Linked DNA regions of Mytilus edulis. The main gene of each other region encodes a partner of the protein of the gene in region 2 in a complex. Links are inferred from orthologs where the notes say so. Each region holds a gene or a part of one and is shown on either strand. Other genes may lie near its edges.

What was found.
Region 1: crooked neck-like protein 1 (region 2) and spliceosome-associated protein CWC27 homolog share a complex: the UniProt entries of both Homo sapiens proteins name them as parts of the minor spliceosome. The link is inferred for Mytilus edulis from reciprocal best matches to the Homo sapiens genes CRNKL1 and CWC27.

The regions. Positions count from the first base shown.
Region 1 is NC_092344.1:100,217,222-100,228,868, reverse strand, and holds the start of spliceosome-associated protein CWC27 homolog, read right to left. Parts: upstream 4,741-11,647; 5' UTR 4,654-4,740; coding exon 4,612-4,653; intron 1,737-4,611; coding exon 1,527-1,736; intron 844-1,526; coding exon 700-843; intron 1-699. Other genes in the region: protein SREK1IP1-like, read left to right, coding at 4,971-4,977, 6,388-6,453, 8,906-9,040, 11,643-11,647. UniProt on the Homo sapiens protein: As part of the spliceosome, plays a role in pre-mRNA splicing. Probable inactive PPIase with no peptidyl-prolyl cis-trans isomerase activity. As a component of the minor spliceosome, involved in the splicing of U12-type introns in pre-mRNAs.
Region 2 is NC_092346.1:35,664,984-35,675,641, reverse strand, and holds the start of crooked neck-like protein 1, read left to right. Parts: upstream 1-5,777; 5' UTR 5,778-5,882; coding exon 5,883-5,933; intron 5,934-8,475; coding exon 8,476-8,565; intron 8,566-8,956; coding exon 8,957-9,019; intron 9,020-9,390; coding exon 9,391-9,482; intron 9,483-10,268; coding exon 10,269-10,352; intron 10,353-10,658. Other genes in the region: cilia- and flagella-associated protein 61-like, read right to left, coding at 1-137, 580-712, 2,171-2,294, 3,193-3,488, 4,017-4,159. UniProt on the Homo sapiens protein: Involved in pre-mRNA splicing process. As a component of the minor spliceosome, involved in the splicing of U12-type introns in pre-mRNAs.

The DNA.
Region 1 (11,647 bases), on a different chromosome or scaffold from region 2:
ACTACTACAGATATTAATTACAAAAAACTATAGATCTAGATGTTTAGATGATGTTTTATTCCATGCCATATTATGTTCTGCATTGTATCAAACAAACTAATTTTAAATTTGTATTGGTCTAGCTCCTTGTTGTAAGTCCAAAGAATGGCATGTAACTAATCTAGACATTTTATTCTGAATCTAAGTCAATTTTAATATGAAATGATATGTGTTTAGTGAAGAAGGCAAATAATATTGCTATAGTCCTTGATTTGAACCAACTTAGATAATTCCTACAATTTCCTGTACTAGAGAATAACATGTTACTATAGACCATTGAAGTGTTAATTAATAATCATGACTCTTTAATGTTTTTAATTTTAAGATAAACTATTTGTAGTTTTGTCAGTGGCAATATCTTTGCTGTAAAGCTATTTGTTTATATCTGCATGCTTTTTTTGTTCTCTTCATTAAAAAGAAATAATATGTCAAAATTAGATGCATTCAATGAGTTAGAATAAGAAAATTGAAAATTATTTATAATATCTTTAGACTTTAGAAGCATTTTCTCTTCTTCTGACAATGATCTGTTTTAACACATCAACTGGAAATATAACCCCAATAAACTAAGGCTTGCGTACACATATAATTCATAATTGTGTATTTTAAGAACTTTTATTGACAACCCAAAACAGAAACTACATGTATAATAAATCTTACTTTTCCAAAAATGGTGTGTTTACTTTGCAGCTCTGGTGTTTTGTCCAAAGTGAAAAAGAACTGACTACCATTGTCATTCGGCCCTGCATTTGCCATGGCAACCAGTCCTCTTCTAACAAAACGAAGTCTTGAATGAATTTCATCCTGAAACAAATCAAAAGTCATTATTGATTACAAAACAGTTGGCAAGTGTTAGATTATATGTTTTATATTGTTTCCTTATGATGTTTATTGTGACATGAAACATATTAATATCATGAAACATGTACGATGTAAGTTTTTAATTTAGTTGATTACTGAAACAATCTTAAGGAAACAAAGTCAACATACATGTATGTAACATGTTGAAAACGCCTTTTGATTATCATGATTATATTCTTTTAATACACAAAATCTTGCAAATAAAACTTAAAGTTGATGATGTTTGTAAATTCATCAGTATTTGTACACCATTATAATTTATATTAAAAACCTAATCTATAATTATGTGTTTTTTTGTTTTTTTTAAATTTTAAAGCATCTATATCAAACACATTCTCTATTTGACAATAAACAAATGAAATAATCAGTTTTATAGGGAATCACTGAAGCATGACTGGACCAGCCCCCCCCCCCCTTTTTAGGTCAGTCAACAGGCCCTCCCTTACAAAAAGTTCTGGATCTGCCACTGATTTATACGAAAAACATTATCTATTATGTGTTGTTTTTTTTAATTTTAAAGCATCTATATACCAAACACATTCTCTATTTGACAATAAACAAACGAAATAATCAGTTTTTATTCAATATATATATGTAAAACTGACTGAAGATGTAAAACACTTTACCTTAAATGGATGACCATAAATAGATTCACCACCATCTCCAGTGCCTGATGGGTCCCCTCCTTGTGCAATGAAATCCTTGATAATGCGATGGAAAATTGTATCCTCATAATATCCCTCCATACACAACTGAACAAAGTTTCGACATGCTTTAGGGGCTTCCTTCGACCATAATTCTATGTCAATGTCTCCTACACTTGTATCTAATAGAACCTACAAATAGATTTAACATAATACAGATGGTCATGTTCATGTGAATCAAGTTGAAACAGATTAAACATTGAGACTCTCAACTAGGCAAGCTTTTCTACATTGTTTGAACATAAAATTATATGAGGCTTCACATACAAGTACATGTACATGTAATATAGTCTAATAACCTTCTTTTTTATATCTACTTATCTCAAAGAACAAGGTTTGTGCTCCTTCTTTTATCACAATTCTTAGATGAGATATACTTCTGATTAAACCTAATTTCATTAACTAATGTTTTCTTTTTCTCAGCTACATTATATTCACTAGCTCAAGTAGTTATGCGCTAAGTAACAGATGAAAATATATTTTCAATACTTGAATGGAATGGAAAAGTTTTATTATAAAACATATGATATGTGCATAAACTTTCTTGTAAATGAACATCCTAATCTTCATACATGTACATGTCATAGCTAACTGCTATTTATTTATTGTCGTGTTCCAATACTCAAATTTGATTACAGCTTTTCTGTATGGAGTGACCTTAACCATGAGCCGTTTATATTAACTTCTACAACCAATGAGCACAAGTGTGATGGAAAAACCTGCACTGACAGAAATCGTTTATTGCATGATATCATTATAATGTCATTAATGATTGTTCAAGTGTACCAAGTTGTTTATTCAATAATGAAAAAGTATTTTCAATTCTTTTTACACTAGAGACATTTTTATCTTGTTGTTGTTCAAATGAAACAAGTCAAAGGTATTTGCTGTTAGAAATCAAATTTTTCCAGGAAAAAGAACCTCTTATTATGCTATCAGGTAGGATAATTAGAAATAAATATTAACAAATAGAATATCTCCATTTTGAAGATCATGTATTGGTACATTCTAAAATTTTGAATTAATGAGAACCGATTTAAAAACAAAAGTTGGAATATGCTACAGGTGTCGCCACTCTTAAAAAAATATTTGTAAATTTGAATCTGTCCAAAGAAAGACCACTTAACTCGTCAAGAACATAAATCATTTAAGTTTTGAAGATAGGTTACGTTCATTGAGCTTATTTACTTAATCACCATCTTATTATAATGTTACAAAATGTATACGAAAGGTCACTCCTTAAAAAACTTTTTAAGAAACATTGTAAGACAACACATACTGACATAGACTAAATACTTTTTCAATTAGAGTAGTGGATCAGTGGAATAACCGGTCTGATTTAACAGTGACGGCAAAGACCTTGAATAATTTTAAGTCAGTTAAATGGCAAAAATTGGAACCTGTATCAATTTATATGTTCCTGTCAATTGTTAACCCTCTTACTGCCAGTTGTTTTTCAAGGTTGCATTTCATGTGCCAGAAAATACGACCGCTGGATGTTTGTGACCTCAGATGTCCAAACACGACGTCATCTGATACAAAATGTATATGACATCACGACAAGATGACCGTTACATTCAGGTCCCATTGAAATTTGAAGACAAATATAACCTTGTCAAATATTTGATCTTTTATTTGAAAAAGATACAACAATGAGGAGAAGCTTGCATAAATTAAAACATGGACACCTAAATAAATTTTATTTTTTTTATAATACATGTATATATAAAACCTGCCAAGTCTCACGCATGTGTGTGCTTTTTTTTTTGGCATTTTCTTTTGATCTACATGTATTGTTTTTTCTCTTTGATCTTTTCAATTTTGACAAAATCTTACACATTTGCTTCACGAAAAGTTGGCAGAACTGTAAAACTATTCTAATTTTTCTCCTTGTCATTATGCAATTATTATACAATGAGAAATTGCATTATGACCATGATGACAAAATTTTTAAAAACTTTAAAAGGCAACCAGAGGAAGCAAGTAAATATCTTGGAGTAACCATCAGTAACAACCTAACATGGGATAAACACATAGACAATACAGTAGGCAAAGGAAACAGAACTTTGGGGTTTATACGTAGAAACCTCAAAGGCTGTACAAAACCTGTAAAGGCAGCTGCATATGTGTCCATGGTAAGACCTGCAGTGGAATATGCAAGCACAGTATGGGACCCAACCGCTCAAAATAAAATCAAGGCAATTGAACAGGTTCAGAAAAGAGCTGCACGAATTTGTGAATAACAACTACACAGACCGAACACCTGGCTGTGTCACAAATATGGTTAAAAATCTAAAGTGGGAAAGCCTCGAAGAACGGAGGAAAACAAATAGATTGTGCATGCTATTCAAGATCCAGCATGAACTTATAGATATAGACCGTCACAAATATTTGACACCGAATGATAACCGGACCAGAGGTAAAAACCGCTTCTTCCAAGAAAGAACAAGTACAGACACCTACGGCCAATCTTTCTTCCCGAGGACAATCAGGGACTGGAACAACCTACCAACGACAGTTACAGCGACCAACACCGTTGAGGGATTCAGAGCTGCCCTGAAGGCATGCTCTGAAAGGAAGTAGGAAAACCAGTTGTAAATAATTTTAATTGTATATTTTTCTGCGAACGTTTTAAATGTAATTTGTAAATAGCCAAGAGAAATCTTTCTGTGTTGCCCGACACTGCGTAAAGTTTTCGTGCGGAACCATTAACATTCAGCAATGAATCTGGTTCCTTACCTGGAAGAAGAAGAAGAACCTCAATCAAGCATGCACCAGAATGTAATCTTCAAAATGTTGATGGTTTTCTGTAACTAAAGAAGAAGGAGAAGAAGAAGAAGACATTCCAAGATGAGGTGTCAGTAAAATTCATTGGCTTAAAATATACAGATAGAAAGATAGTAAAACAGCTGTTGTTATTGATATTGTCAACTGTCTGCTGGAGTTATAATATAGCAAGACTGTTTACTTTTTTTTTAAACAGCAAAGTAAAACACTAATTTTCTACCTTTCCGCTCGTAGGCGGTTCTTGTATATAAATATTGCTCATAGCCTGTCAAACAAAAACAAACTAGACCATTAATTTGAAATGTCAATGGGCGCAGCCATTTTGTTTAGGTCTAACTAAAAGATAAAATAGTAAATGATGTATTTGTATAATAAACTAAGAATTTCATATTCAAATTCATAATATTCATTATATTTGATTATTTATGGGATTTTTTAAACAGAATGTAATTTCGTAATAATCATGGAAAGTTAATGTTGATTTTCTTTTAGTTTTGACTTGAATGATACCAGATTATCTCCCTTAGGTACCTAACCAAAAAATTTAGACCATTCCGCAGTTTTACGATTTATGACACAATGCAAGGTAAACAAAGAAAGACAAATTTGATACAACTTGTTCATGACAGGAATCAAATAATAAACTGGATTGAATCATTTTTGTCAAACAGAACACAAACAAAAACAGTAGTCAGTACTTTTAGAAAGAGTCATCTTTAAAAATTATACCAGTCACATGATCAGGTGTCACACTGGGTACAGTGCTAGGACCAATACTATTCTAATTTACATAAACGACCTCCCAAAATACATCCAACATAGTAAAATCCGACTCTTCGCAGATGACAGTAATAATGAGTATATGAATAGGTAGTGTATGTACGTACCTGCATGTGAGGTATGCGTAGCCAAATTGGCCTTTGTAGGCTACGGCTACGCACACCCGCCTCCAGTTTTATAATTTAATGTCATCGGATCAGGAATAAATTGTAAAATTAACTCAGAAAACATCGCAATAAGTGAGAGAATAAATTGATTACTCACAGAGATTTTAAGATTTGAAATGTCAATATATATGAAAAAAAAAGTTCTACGCCTATTATTATTTTACGACGTACCGTGATACACTTTCGTAAAAATATGCATTTATATTTGATTTCTATTTTTCTAACTAATACATTAAAAACAATTTAAAAAATATTATTTGCTATTATCTTCACAGAATTCACAAAATCAGAAAAATAACCAATAATTTTTGTGTATCTTTCACGTTGCTTTCCCAATCATATGACACTTTCTTATAAAATCGGTTGCGGGTACACATAGCCTAAAAAGGCCAATTTGGCTAAGTGTATCCGTATGCAGGTACTCGCAGACAGGCGCAGACACTGCCATATATAAATAAAACATTGGACGATAGAGCAGATTGGGATACAACTAAAAGTTAAATCAGCACCCACAGAAAAAGTCAAATTGGCACCTTGTTAAATCGACATCTGGTTAAAAATAGGCACCCATTTAAAGTCAATTTGGCATCCAATGACAGATTGTTACCAAAGAATACAGTGTCAATCACTACCAAGCCAAGATTGACAATGCTTTTTTGAGGGTTACCAATCTGCTCTATCATCCTCTCACTATGTGTTACATGTATTTAATTTATTATGCTTAAGTTAATGTCCTATCATTATTGTCTAACAGATGAATTTTATTTAAAAGTATTTTCTAATCCATGAGGTCACATACATTATAACAACTTTGCGGGTATTTGAAAAATCATCAAAAGTGAAGCAAGATATTTTTTTTTTATTATAAAATAATGATATAATCTATCGACAAATAAAATCTCTATTAACATGTTGAAAGAAGTCCCTTCGGGTTTTCAATAATAAATAGCAGGCAAGATATTCCAATCTTTTAGGTCTTATTATTTGATTTTAATCTTTGACTGACATGACTGATGCCTTATCAACATTATTTTTTTTAAAACTTTTAGGCATAGGCAGCAAATACACCAATAAAAATGATGGACTTAAACCAGCCTGTAAAAAATGTGGATATGGTATGTATAGCAGATTGTATTGTATTTAATACTGAAGAGTCTTTATATGGGATACCAAATTTTATGGAATTTGTGGGTAAATGCAAGGATTTGTAAACTAATCCTTGGTATTGGTAAAACAAACTTTTTCATGTTTAACAAAGTACAAATATTCTAAAGGCTTGTAATAAGACATTGCAAAAACCTTGAAATCAAATACCACTATATATTATTTTTACTATAGTATCAACAAAAATAAATAAATTCACAGTATTCAGCTGTGTACCATTTAACAGCATAGGCAAGTTACTATATCTTTTAAAACTTCATGATAATCATGAAATAATGTAGTTTGTTTATTGCTATATACATTCCTCACTTGCATGATCTTTGTTTTTAATTTGTCACACTGCTCCCACTTGCGACATCTCAATTCACAAGTCTTTAATTGACAATGTGGATTGTTCTGGTTTATTTTTTATGCCCCACCTACGATAGTAGAGGGGCATTATGTTTTCTGGTCTGTGTGTCCGTCCGTCTGTCCCGCTTCAGGTTAAAGTTTTTGGTCAAGGTAGTTTTTGATGAAGTTTAAGTCCAATCGACTTCAAACTTAGTACACATGTCCCCTATGATATGATCTTTCTAATTTTAATGCCAAATTAGAGTTTTTACCCCAATTTCACGGTCCACTGAACATGGAAAATGATAGTGCGAGTGGGGCTTTCGTGGACTGAGGACACATTCTTGTTTTAAAATATTCAGGCATTATTTAATTTTTATTAAAATTGAATGATTTTTTTTTTATCTAAATAACTGTCTACTTACTTCTATTGAGCTATTATATAGAAAAAATAGTTAATTGAGCAGTTGAGACATTATAGCATTCTTATTTCCGTATCATAAGACGTGCAGTGTAATGGAAATCTTTTACCAGCCATGACTATTTCATTCCTATTCCTTTAAGTATAATTATGTTTTCTTTTTATGCCTCAACCGTAGGCAACATGGGCATTAATTGTTACCCTTGACTATCCCTCTGTCCATCTGTCAGTCCTTTTGTCTGACCCATTTTTGTTTTACCACTCTTGGTTATGTTTTCCTCATCCAAACTTTCTGAAAGTCATACATGGTGCTAAAAACCAAAAGTGGCAGACAGAGATCAAATTTGATCACAGAGTCATTTACAGTTAGTTATGCCCTTTTATAAGTATAACTTGGAAATGCAAGTCTGTTCATGTTCGCACTCTAACTTAAGTTTGCCTCATCCAAATTTTAAGAAAATCATTGGTAGTCCAGTCAATCTAGCATACATAAGTTTTAATCTTTAGCATTATACCCCAAATATACACAGAAAAAAGTCCTATAAAATATAACTTGTGGAAAACTAAAAAATCATGATTTTAAAATTCCTATGGAGATTTGCGTTCATATGGGAGATAACTCTGCAAAAATGCAGAAATATCAATAAAGATTGATAAAAAGTTATAACTTTACCGCTTCTATTCAACAGAATGTATTGATTCTTGATATTTGAGTCATCTTTAGAGTATAACAAAGAACTCTTAAGGTATTATCATATCTTTTATCAAGCTAGAACCTAGACTTCATAATTAAATAGTTGACCATTTATTAGATTTTTCAGCATGTTAAGGTAAAGAATCTCAAATTGAATAATAAAACTAATTAAGCATATATTCCTCTTTTTGTGGTTTAAAGTTTCTATGAACAAGGTAGATGCTGAACAAATATAATTTACAGATAGAAATAATACCAAATATTCATTTTTTCAAAATGGTCACTAGGCCATAAATTTGCAATTTTTTTAATGAAAATGTGCAAAAAGAATTAAAAAAATATGCATAGCACTTCGGTTTTGTACATTTCATGAGCAGAAGATTATATAATATAGTCAAATACGAAGTTATAACTCCATCAAAGTATCATATATTACATGAATTTTAAGAAAATCAAACAAAAACTGACATAAAAGTCTCATTTTTGCTGAGTTATCTCCCTTTCCAATGTTAATTTCTATAAGAAATTAAAAATGCAAAATTTGAGTTTTCCTCAAATTAGATTTTATGGGACTTCTTTCTGTATATATTTGGGGCTAAATGCTATAGATTAGAATTAAAGCATTTTCTGTTGCAATTAGTTTGAGGTTCAAACTTAGTTTGACTGGACTAAAGGTATTGCTGATCATTGCTGAAAACCACAACACGCAGAGTTTAAATTCTGGCAATATTTCATTAACCTTTCTAGAGTTATACCCCTTTATACTTTGGAAAATTGTAAATATTTTAATTTACTCACTCTAGGTAAGTTTTTATTTAACATGCAGACTAAGTTCTAATTTGGGCAGTGAGTCATTAAACGTTTTGATAATTGAAAATTGCAAAGCTTGAGCAAGGGCATTCATGTCCTTAGAATGCTTAGACAAAATTTCTTATTTTATTTTCATTATGTTTTTTAGCTGGACATCTAACATTTCAGTGTCGTAACTTTGTGAAGGCAGATCCTGGTAAAGATATTGTTTTAGATGTCAGTAGTACTAGCTCAGATTCCTCAGAAGATGATTTTATTTCACCACTCAGTCAGTTTCAACAAGGTTTGTTCATCTGTTTATTTTTTGTCACTGAGTTATATTTTGAGGAGATCTTGTCGCTAATGCATTGTAATACATGTATATGATCAGCTATAACTCATTTATTTATAACTTAATGGCATTCAATTATAAAAGTTTAATAACAAATCTATTGAGTTAGTGAACAATAAGGAGTGTATGACATGTACATGTATGAGGTGTTTAAAGTTTTTTACCAGACAAAATTTGTCACTCAGATCTAGATTTACAGTTACATATACATTATCTCAGTTTAAATTGTGTTCTTATTTTCAATTATTTGATGTCTGTTACAAAATGTATTTAATTGGATATAATGAATCAGCTTTGATTAACTCTGAAATGCTGTATCAGTTCAAGCTTTCCCAGGTAACCATGTTATTATATTATTTAGTTATCATTTATGGGAAGTTAACTGACTTACAATTATATGAAAGATAGATCCATGTGGTTTTTATACGACCGCAAAAATTTTAATTTTTTGGTCGTATATTGCTATCACGTTGGCGTCGTCGTCGTCGTCGTCCGAATACCTTTAGTTTTCGCACTCTAACTTAAGTAAAAGTGAATAGAAATCAATGAAATTTTATAACAAGGTTTATGACCACAAAAGGAAGGTTTGGATTGATTTTGGGAGTTTTTGTCCCAATATTTTAGGAATTAGGGGCCAAAAAGGGCCCAAATAAGCATTTTCTTGGTTTTCGCACTATAACTTTAGTTTAAGTGAATAGAAATCTATGAAATTTTGACACAAGGTTTATGACCACAAAAGGACGGTTGGGATTGATTTTGGGAGTTTTGGTTTCAACAGTTTAGGAATTAAGGGCCAAAAAAGGGCCCAAATAAGCATTATTCTTGGTTTTCGCACAATAACTTTAGTATAAGTAAATAGAAATCAATGAAATTTAAACACAAGGTTTATGACCACAAAAGGAAGGTTGGGATTGATTTTGGGAGTTTTGGTCCCAACAGTTTAGGAATAAGGGGCCCAAAGGGTCCAAAATTGAACTTTGTGTGATTTCATCAAAAATTGAATAATTGGGGTTCTTTGATATGCTGAATCTAACTATGTATGTATATTCTTAATTTTTGGTCCCGTTTTCAAATTGGTCTACATTAAGGTCCAAAGGGTCCAAAATTAAACTTAGTTTGATTTTAACCAAAAATTGAATCTTTGGGTTTCTTTGATATGCTGAATTTAAAAATGTACTTAGATTTTTAATTATTGGCCTAGTTTTCAAGTTGGTCCAAAATTAAACTTTGTTTGATTTCATCAAAAATTGAATAAATGGGTTCTTTGATATGCCAAATCTAACTGTGTATGTAGATTCTTAATTTTTGGTCCAGTTTTCAAATTGTTCTACATTAAGGTCCAAAGGGTCCAAAATTAAACTAAGTTTGATTTTAACAAAAATTAAATTCTTGGGCTTATTTGATATGCTTTATCTAAACATGTACTTTGATTTTTGATTATGGGCCCAGTTTTCAAGTTGGTCCAAATCAGGATTCCATATCAAGTATTGTGCAATAGCAAGAAATTTTCAATTGCACAGTATTGCACAATAGCAAGAAATATCTAATTGCACAATATTGTGCAATAGCAATTAATTTTCAATTGGAGTTATCTTTTTTTGTATAGAATAGTAGTTGATAATATATGTTGGAAATTTGCCAGACATGACTATGATGTCATTTTCTATTTTTATTTGCCAATAACTTTATGTAAATAACTTCATTGGAAATTTGCCAATATAAAATGTTGCTGATGAAGCTTTTTTTCCTTATCTTATCTAAAATGTTTTTAGATAATGTATGTTGGACATTTGCCAGACATGACTATGATGTCATTTTCTATTTTTATTTGCCAATAACTTTATGTAAATAACTTCATTGGAAATTTGCCAATATTAAATGTTGCTGATGAAGTTTTTTTTATTGTTTTATACAATAAACAATGTATATTCACTTTTACTACCAACCAATCTTTACCATTCAGTGATAACAAGCACTTTATTTTACATTTTAATATTTTATGATGTATTTAAAAGAGTAGTTATTGTTGCAAACTCCATTAGAAATTTGAATTGATATCAGTTTTGGAAAAAGGGAAACGTGGATGTGAAAAAAATGGGGTGGGGGGGGGGGGGGTTAAAATTTTCTCATTTCAGATTTCATAAATAAAAAGAAAATTTCTTCAAACATTTTTTTTAGAGGATTAATATTCAACAGCATAGTGAATTGCTCAAAGGCAAAAAAAAATTTTTAAGTTCATTAGACCACATTCATTCGGTGTCAGAAACCTATGCTGTGTCAACTATTTAATTTTAGATTTAAATAAGTTTGAAGGAGAAATCTTTAATTGATTTGTAAAATCTTGACATTTGTTTTGTGTAAAAAAAACCATGTAATGTCAAAAATTTGATCACAATCCAAATTCAGAGCTGTATCACGCTTGAATGTTTTGTCCATACTTGCCCCAACTGTTCAGGGTTCGACCTCTGCGGTCGTATAAAGCTGCGCCCTGCGGAGCACCTGGTTTAAAAGTTTATTATTATACAGAAATAAATTTTCATATTGTATTTTTTAGAAAAG
Region 2 (10,658 bases):
GTTTTTGGTGGAACCAGATCATCATCTTGATGTGGTTTCTTCAAACCATGGAAAGATCCTAACTCAAAACATTCATTTAACATATCTGTGTTGACATCATTGCTTATACTCATGAATCCAACTGCTGTTCCTTCAACCTGTCAAAAATACATTTGTATGAGCTTTTCTATAACAGAAAACCTACTTAAACTTAGCTTCACATTGTACAGGTTCTGATAATTTTCTATGACTTTCACAACAATCTTTGGAATGTTAATTTTATTATAAATATTCCCTTTTGTGCTAACAGAAAGAGCAGAAAACACATTTGACATAATAATTTTTAACAAAATCAAAATATTTTTTAAAAAGTTTGAATTGAAGCAAATTTTGTTATTTCTTTCCAACAGAAGAGCAAGATTTTACAATCTGTAATAGTAATTTTATGATGTCTGTTTTACAATCAGCCTGAGAATATTAATAAAAATTCCCATTAACTATTTCTAACAAATATATATCAATTTGAATTATAACATGTACTGGAATGGTACTGTTTAAATATGAAACAAAAATTATTTAGAAATTGATTTTTTTTTATACCTCTGCTACTAAACACTGCATATGGTCATCTTGTGCTTCAATCAATTCAGCAAGGAAGAAATCACCATAAGCCATCTTCAGCATATCACTATGACGATTGAAGATGGGTGTCAAGTCATCATGGTCTTCAACTCTGTAAAAGTCAATATTTAAATCAGAGAATATAAAAGTTTAAAATTAATTAATCTAAAAAGTAGGAAAATCTGTTTAAAAAATGTTTTGACAGAAATGATTTTTACATACACTATTAAGTGAAATTTAAATTAATGGTTATATTGTTACGGTTTAGGGTATAAGCTGTAGGTTTGTAGATACAACTGTTTCAGGCTACTCCGTAAACACTCTATTCTATTTTCGCGTTCGTCGTTTACTGTTAGCCAACGCTTATATAAAGACATTTGATGAACATTGTGTATACTTTTATTGTTATTGTATGTAAATATTGTTAGTCAGGTCTCTGGGAATAATACTATAGAGTTCGTCTTCACTGTTTGACCACGGGGGGTCCCCCGACTGAATGAATGTTCCAACCTTCTGTTTACTCCTATTTCACACGTTCCTGCTTTATTACCTTGTTATTTTATTAGCGTTAGGCATATATATTGAAACCGGGGCCCATACATGCTAAGAGTAAGCTTAGATAGGTCCCGTTTGTCCATTTCCCCACTCGACAGAATGTCAACATTCCGATCGCCGCCATTTGCATCACTATGTTTATTGACGTCAGTGACCTAATGACCTAAGATCAGCATCCAATCAGCATAGCGTAATTTGCCCACCATATCCATAGGGGCACGTGACGTTGGTGGGGCAGAGATATAAAAGCAAGTGCACAAAAGTCTTCAGATAGACTGCGGCCCGCTACCAGGGCAGTCACTCCTGATACCAAGGAAACTTACCAAAGGCAAAGCAAACCAAAAGTGCCGCAGTCGATGCAATACATGTACCTTTGCATCCCCGTTGGATAAATGGACCAAACCATAAGTGACCTAGATGTTTTACTGCGTTTACTACGATGTTGACAAACGATTAACGTACCGAAAAGGGGGGTCTCTGTATATTTTATAAACTGTTCTGTTGGGTTTTCATGTGATTTATACTTGGAATAGTATTGAATGTTTTGTATATAATAAATTGTGAAGCTTTATTAATCTTGACATGTTATCTGTTGTACATGTAATTAGTAAGTCAATGTTAATGAGTTTCTGTGCGGCTACCATATTTAGACCAGTGCCTTAACTGTTTTGCCTGCTACGCTACCATAGTCTTGACCATTTTACCAGCTACGCTACCAGTATAACTTAGTTTGTAACTCGACACCAGAGTGGACAGATCTATATCAGAATTTACCAAGAATATAGTAACCAGGGTTATAACCTCATATAAATACCTTTACTTTTGGGACACCCCCGTCCCGTAACAATATGACTGTTTCTATTTCAATCACACTGTAAAAGGTAGTGTTTAGAATTAATAAGACTTGTTTAGGACAAAAACAATAGAAGACAAATAAAACTGACCCAATAATATCTAACTATTTTTTTACAAAATGAAAATATCATCCCCCGACAACATGATTTCTACTACATACGTTGCCTTTCTGACATGTAGAACAGGAACATGGTTATGTCTGTAGCAAGCAAACAGTGCTCCTTGTGTACTGCTAACACCCTCTCTTTTAGGTAACTGCTGGAATACACCGTCAAGTGAAGCATCTGCAATAGAATAGAGGTGAAAACATGATATTACACCAAATTAATTGTAGATTCACTATTGAAAGAGTATTGAATAACTATCCTGAAATTTATTGTTACCTATGTTGAATTCAATCAATGACTCTTAAATTGAATTAAAAGAGAGATTAAAGAACATGTACATGTTCTTTAATTGTAATTCACTGTTTTCATGATAAAGTCCCTCAAACAGAATCCGATAGCTATCAAAATCAAACTTGGGCAAGATGAAATATTTATACAATTTTTTTTTTAAACCTTTTTAGACAAATAATCAATTTGTAGCTGAAAGATAAATTCAAGAAGAATGCAATATTTAGATGCACCATTAAGTGATAAAAAATATCAAAATTCACATCAAGTATTATTTCCATGGACATCAAGAGGCTACATATCAGTTCCAATGATTAAAGAACAAGAATGCGTCCCCAGTACATGAATGCCGCATCCACACTATCATTTTTTTTATGTTCAGTGGACTGTGAAAATGGGAAAAAATCTCCAATTTGACATTAAAATTTGAAAGATCATATCATATGGAACATGTGTACTAAGTTTCAAGTGGATTGAACTTCAACTTCACCAAAAAACTACCTCGACCAAAAACTTTAATCTGAAGCAGGACAGATGGAAGAATGAACTGACGAAGGAACAGACAAACGCACAGACCAGAAAACATAATGCCCATAAATGGGGCAAAAAAATTGTATTTTGGTGGATACTTGTTTTTAAAGTTTGAATCAATTCTGCATACAAGCATACAGAATTTATTTTTGATAAGTGTCTCACATCTTCTATCTAGTAAATGCATGAAAATAAGTACTCCATGAAAATTTGTAAACCCTGACATTGTGACACAGTATTTTATTAAATAACATACCAGGATAAGCTTTCATTGGTACATTCAGGAATAAATAATGTAAGTCAGGAACGGCATTAAATGCAGTACGGATTATCTCCCTTGCACAACCACTGGCATATTCTTTCTTTGCAACAAAATAATGCATGTACAAGGAATTTAGAGCTGATGTTTTTGGAGTATCAAACATCTTGTGGAACCACTCCTCCCATGTTGATGGATCAACACCTTCAATGTTGGGATAATCAAAGAATGCAGCATGGCCAAGGATTTCTTCTTTGTCGTTACATAGAGTGACCGCTAACACAGCTTTCTCTCTGTGAATTAATGAACAAGGATAAAATCAATAAATTGGAAAAGTTTAGAATCAAAATACACAAAATGCAATTAAATATTTTTTTTGTTTACAGAATACTCAAAAAATTTAATCCAGATTTTGGTTTTCTGTATACTATATTTGTACTGTTATATTTTTAATACATTGTAACATGGTATATGTAGCATTAGGTAAATATTTCTGACTTTTTATATCTTTCAGTAATATTTCTGACTTTTTGTCTTTGAACAAAAACAAATACATGATAACAGACATCCTGTGGTTTTTTTCCCATGCAATAGAACCTCCATGACCAGTCAGATACATGTAAGATATAAAAATATTTCATGCTGTGGCAATAATTAAAAAGGGTCAATTTTGTTGTGTATTTTTTCAATTTTGGATGTTAAATCAGGTTTTCTTGTATTTGAAATTAATAATGTCATATATGTAAAATACAATGTTTGGTACTGTTGACTATATGCATAACAATCTCTAGACTTATTTCAAACTGATTGTTATGACTTACATTAAGTTGACAACATTAACTCTTCCAAACAATTGGTCAGTTGAACTGTTCACGAGCTTGATAATGTGTGGTGCATCTAGCGATTCTGTTCTTCTAGCATTTACAACCTCTGGGGGACCATCCACAGGTGTAATTGTTGCCATGTTTTCCAATTTATGCAAATTCTAGAAACAAATTAAATCAAAAATGTATAAATTAATACTGTGATGACTGTAGCATAAATGCCAACAACCCTTTTTGCAAAATCAGAAAGAAAGAAAAAAAATGCTGTAATATGTGTTTGATCAGTAGTCCATTTTTATAAAGTTTTAAATTATTATTTATTGTAGTATTAATACATACCTGCCAAGTTTTCAAAATGACCATGGGGGTTTTGCGTGCAAGATGGCTGCCATACTTCTAAAAAACCTTCAAGGGGGCCTTCAAATACAGTGTAATGTTGTTTTTTGACTTCTTCATACTTTTATAAGCCTCAATTCATTTTAAAATTAATTGTTTTGTTAAAATTGTGGACATAATTGCTCTTGAAAAATTTCAATTTGGGAGCCTTCATGGGGGAAATCCCCCGCAAATAGTGACAGTTGACAGGTATGTAAAATAATACACTTACTGAGGATTCATTAAATTTAATGGGAACCAATGTTTGTGGATAAAGGAAAACTGGCATGTTTGATGATATTTTATTTTATTTTGTGGTTCTCCCTTACCAACATGATCAATGAAAATTGGTATCCAACAAATAATAATTACCGTACCAAAACTTGATTACAAATATATTAATCATAAAATCAATAACAAGGGTGCTAATGTGAATTGGCGCGATAGTACTTTAGAGCGAACAGAACTGGAATCGATACAACTTATCGCTATTTGTCAGCCATTACTGAAAATCACACAGGTTCCCGTAAAATCTTGACGTCATAAAACAAAATATCTGACACCACAGTGGAAAAGTGATTGTTGTATGCGTCAAAAGTTCAAGCGGCCAGGTCAGCCGGGATTAGCGATAAGGCGTATTGTACCAGCTAAAAATATGCAATTAAATTGAAAAGAACTTTTAATCGCAAAAAGGTAAAGAAAGTGTCATTAATCAATTAAAATACAAGTCTCGTCACAGAACTCTTGTATCAATGACTACACAGAACCCCTATTCAAAAAACCTGCAACTCGTAAAGGAAAAAATCTGTTAATTCTGTTTGTTGACAACATCCCCTGAAACCTGCCAAGAACTAAAACGTCAAGTTTCCTTACAAAATCGGTAAAATTTGTGAAAATACTTTATTGTTCAATCAAGTTGAAGAAGTTTATTGAGTTAAACGAGGTTGACAGGGAAATTCATGGGCAGTCATATGAGAAAACAGCTATATAATTCCAAATTTCATGTCCAACCTATCATTTGCTTAAGCGTGACATGCATAAAATGTGCCTGATTAGTAAGTGATATAAGGACTAGTTCAATTTAAAGTCTTATTTTTTAACTAAGAATTACTCAAATGCCTATTTCTCATACAGTTAGTGTGGATAATCAATATATATTCTCACTTTTTTGGATATCTCAAAGCTTTACCGCCATTGCAAAGCTGCTACTTAGCAACGATACGTTAAAAGTTTCGTATATCAACAAATATCTAATATGATTTCTTCAACAAAATAACATATAATATATTATCATATAATGTAATTTACAATCATTTTTTAAAGTAAAAGAGGGACTGCAGTGTATTTATTTCTTCTGAATATTTGTCATAAGTTTCGAACATTTCTATTTCCGTTTCCGGAAAAACAAAATTTCGATATTTGAACGTCCACACTTGCTTTGTAGTTAGTTTTATATTTAAAAGGCGCTGTTTATGTTAATTTAACAAGATGCTTGAAGTTGACGAAGATGGCAAACGCAAAATGCCTAAAGTGGCAAAGGTGACGTTCTCAAACTTTAAAAATGTTTATCCTATATTTATGACCCAACTTGGCATTTCAATTTTTATGCATTAACCAGTTTACATTTTCAATGATTTTGAGGAAATCTAGAAGGGTAAAGAACCGAATGGGTGCGAGAAAACTCGACCGGAGTAAAATTGGTCTGTCTGCAAAAAGACAACTCTAACTGTATGAAAACAAACTCTGACTGTCAAGAATTCAAATGGGACCTCCTGTCTTAAGTTTTTAATATGAGACAGGCATTACCTGTAAATGGAGAAGAAGTCTGTATTATTATATTTTTAAAATTCAATCATGTTGATAAAAGAAACGGAAATACCGTAAGGTTTCCGATATTGGTTCTGTTGTTTAGGATTTAGTTGTGACGTTATTTAAGTTATGACGTCATATAATAATGTAAACAAAGAAACGCTGTTATCAGGTAACGTTTTTTCATATCTGACAACAATTATTAAAAGTGATTGGATGTTGAATTCCTTCCTATATTTGTTGATATGTTGATAAATATACATTTTATTCAGTCTCATGCAAACAAGACCGACTGGAAAACATTTGTGCGCAGATGCAGACCAGAAAAGGAAGTATATCTGAAAAAAATTTAACGATATTGAGTTCATTACAGTGTAGGACAGTCAGGCCAGCCAAAGGCTGACCGGATTTTTTTTTTTGGGCGAGTGTAAAAATAACTTCACAGGCCCAAAATGCATATTGGTAGCCCAATTATTTTACTCGATTTTTTTTTACCCGTTGAGCCTTAAAAAATGACAAAAAAGCAATATAAAAACGGTAGATGTTCTCAATTCCTCAATTAAACCTTCCTGATACATAACCCTAAAAAAATCATTCCCGTAGTCTTCATTGTCACTAAAATTCAGCATCACTGTTCAGTGCCTAATTTAGGATTTTGGAGAGGAAGAAGTGACTTCTCATTCCAAGAGAGAGAGGAGAGAGGCGAAGTTCCAATGCCGTTTCGGTTGCATAGTGATTTCGTGTTATCACTGGGGAAATATTGCTGCTGCGTTTAAAATTAAACAAGTTTATGCGAAATAATCTAAAAATAGCACGGGGAATTTCTGCTATAGATATTCTATTCCGTCATGCAGTCATTTCAACAGAGGTCTCCAAAGTGTCAATGCAAAACAACATAAAAAGACATTTTACATATATTTTATAAGCGAATTATTTTCTTATGTCACTGCCACATGCACTTGTTTCTGTCCTTGGGGGGTTTAACTATCCACATTCGTATGAAAAACATTTTGACAGCTTCTTGGATGTTTCCGTGTTTGCCGGTTTCCTTTCATAATTCCCATTTCCCTTGTTTGGTTAAGTGGGTCAGATGAGGTTTTACTGTCAATGACTGTCGCTAGCCTATATAAAACACCAATAGTTTAGCGACCATCATTGTCAGTAAAATTATTTTTGACCCACTATTAACAAGCACATTATCACGATGCGTTTGTAAATGCTATATTGATATTTTGATGCACTTGCACGTTTTAACGATGTGAACAGAGGATTTCCGAAAATGGGTGTTCCGAAGTTGAGGTGGTTTATTATAGGAGTAAACTACGATTTTGAGAATGATATACACTCGCCCAATGATTTATTTTTGGGCCAGTTACTATTCATCTTGACAATTTCTAATCGCCCAATCAAGGTGCTGGTCCATTGGCGACCAGGCGACTGGCTGTGTCCAACACTGTCATTAGCATGATTAGTAGAATGAAAAATTCTGGAAATATTCCCGATTTTTTTTTTTTTTTTTATTGATTTTTCTACCGTAATTGGGGACTTCGTCCCCATATAATAATATGAGGCAGGCATTACCTGTGAAAGGGAACGAAGTCTGTATCAATTTTTTTAATTTTACGTAACGTTTCAGATGTTGATTTTGTTGTTAGGAATACTCGAAGTCTCATGACAAATGAATCTGGAAAAAAAGTCAACACTTTTGAGTTCATTAAAATTATATATATTTTTTTTATTTATTTTTTCTACTGTTATAGGGGAATTCGTCCCCTTATTATAGACAGATGTTACCTGTGAAAGGGGACAAAGTCATTCATATTTTAAATTTAGAACCTGTTTAATAAAAGGGGACGACATAGTCTGAATACTTTGTTTTTTAATAGTCCAGCATATTTTGCTTTCAAACTCTTAAAACAGAAACGGAAATATGGAAACTTTTCCAACGTTGGTCCTGTTGTAAGGGATTTAAGTTGTGACATCATTTTCAATGTAAACAAAGAAACACTCATCAGGTAACATTATTTTATTTTTCATATCAAACACTTATCAAACAAACACCAAATTAGATGGAAACAATATGATACTCCTTCCAATTTTACAAGTTATCACAAAAAAAACGAGAAGAAAAAAAGAGATTTCTGGGAAAATGTGGAAAAATGAAAAAAGTCTGAAAATTGAAAGTTAACGATTTTGAGTTCATCATGTTCATTAGTAGTTCAATTTTTTTTTTAAACTACTGTATATTGACTTTCATTCTCTTTGTTTGAAGGTTAAGAACAAGATGCCAGCACCAGTCCAGATTACTGCAGAACAGTTACTCAGAGAGGCCAAAGAGAGGGAATTGGAGCTTGTACCTCCAGTATGTTACTCTATGTTATTCAAAAAAATCATAGGGGTTCCTAAAAGTTTTCAATTTCATTAAAATTTTACCAACAGCTTTTTATTTAAATCAGATGTTGAAAAAAATATATCCTTTGTTTAAATCACCTGATTTGAGATTTTGTAAACTTTGCAATATTGGTTTCAGTACCTAATAGATTTAAAAGATGCTCTTGAATGATAAAGTATAACTTGATCGTGTCTACGTTTGTATATGGCTCTAGCTATAGCTGGTATTTTTTGTTAACTCCTTTTGAATTTTAACAAGTATCAATTTGATTTGATTTAATTAGTTAGTCATTTTCAATATATTGAGAAAGGTCACATTAACATGATAACAATACTGATATAAGCAAACTTTTATATTAAAGCCTCCAAAACAGAAGATATCAGATCCAGATGAATTAGCAGCTTATAAAATGAGGAAAAGAAAAGTGAGTACAAATCTATATATGATTGCTTTAAGGACTATGAGATTCTAGCAATTTCATGCATATTTGTCTTTTGAGCCCAATCCTATATTTCAAATTTCTACCTTCTAATAGATTTCTTTTAGAATTATAATTATAAATTAGTTTTACCCTATATAAACAAGATGCTGTTTAGAAAATGTTGACTATGTCAGGATGCTTTTTGAAAATTTCTGATACATGTACTGTGAATTCATTAATGTTTGTTTTAAGGGAGGAGGGTTATGACTCACTGAAAAAAAGGGATAAAATCTTTATTTTGAATGACTTTTAATTACATGTATATACATTCTTTGTATGCTTTTTTAGCTTGCTTATATTATTTTTTATGATAGGCATCTGAGGATAACATAAGGAAGAATAGAACAGTCATGATAAATTGGATTAAATATGCACAGTGGGAAGATTCACAACAAGAAGTTCAAAGGTAATTAATCTTAACTAATAAAATAACTTTATGGTTGCATAGTAAGGTACACATACAAATGACATATTGGTGGAATCTGTGCCAAAATCAAACTAAAGACTATAAAATTGGTCCTGCTGCTTTCTCTTAAGTTCACATTATAAGTAAGTTAGTAAGCAGGATTGAAGCTAAAATTTTGAGGTCTATAGTCACTTTTGCTTGCTACTGAAAAACTTACCTTTTCGGGAAACAACTTGTATGGGCACAAAAAACAACAATAACAAAACATGTTTAATGTGTTCTCCCAACTGTGTTTTCAGCTATTCATTTGTATTGTTTATAAAATATCCATTTCACATTATAAAAAATTACTTGTTGACAGCTATTATTGTTTAAATAGTTACTGTTTCCATTAAAATAGAGTTGCTAGTCATCTTTTAAGTATGTTTTATCTGAGACAACTCACCTTTCAATACCCTTAAGGGTTCTCAGCAGTGTGAGTAAATTTTCCTTTCTTAGCTGAAGTTCTGGATGTGGTTTATAGAATAGGAGCCTTTGACCATCATGTTAATGTGATACTATGTTGATTGAATGTAAGATATCTGAAATGATTTTTAAAATATATTCAATAGGAAATAAAATTTCATAAAATTGACACTGGAAACAATAACAAGTTTAAAAAAGACAACAATCTGACCAAATAGCAGAAAACAGACAAAAGCAACCAATGGGTCTCCAATGCAGTCTACCATTATAATAATGCAGTTTTGCTATGTGGAAAATAATTTTGTTTACTTAATTTTTCAGAGCCAGATCAGTTTGGGAAAGAGCATTAGATGTTGACCATAGGAACATAACAATATGGCTAAAATATGCTGAAATGGAAATGAGGTATTATTTACATATGAATTACAAATAAATACCTTGTTTTTAACCCAAAAAACATATTAGAACAGCTGATTAATTGCAATGGCCCTATAAAATAGTTTTAAGGTTAATTGTAAGTTCCCGAAATACATATATACTGTTATAAAAAAAATGAAATTTAATTATCAATGAATTATTTTTCTTTATACTGCAATCAGCTATTTTACTATACAGATAAAGCTATACGTATAAACGTTTGCTTTTTACGTCAATGACCTCAACTAACCTATAAGCCCCACCTACTTACTGGAACTACCACTGTTTCATCAA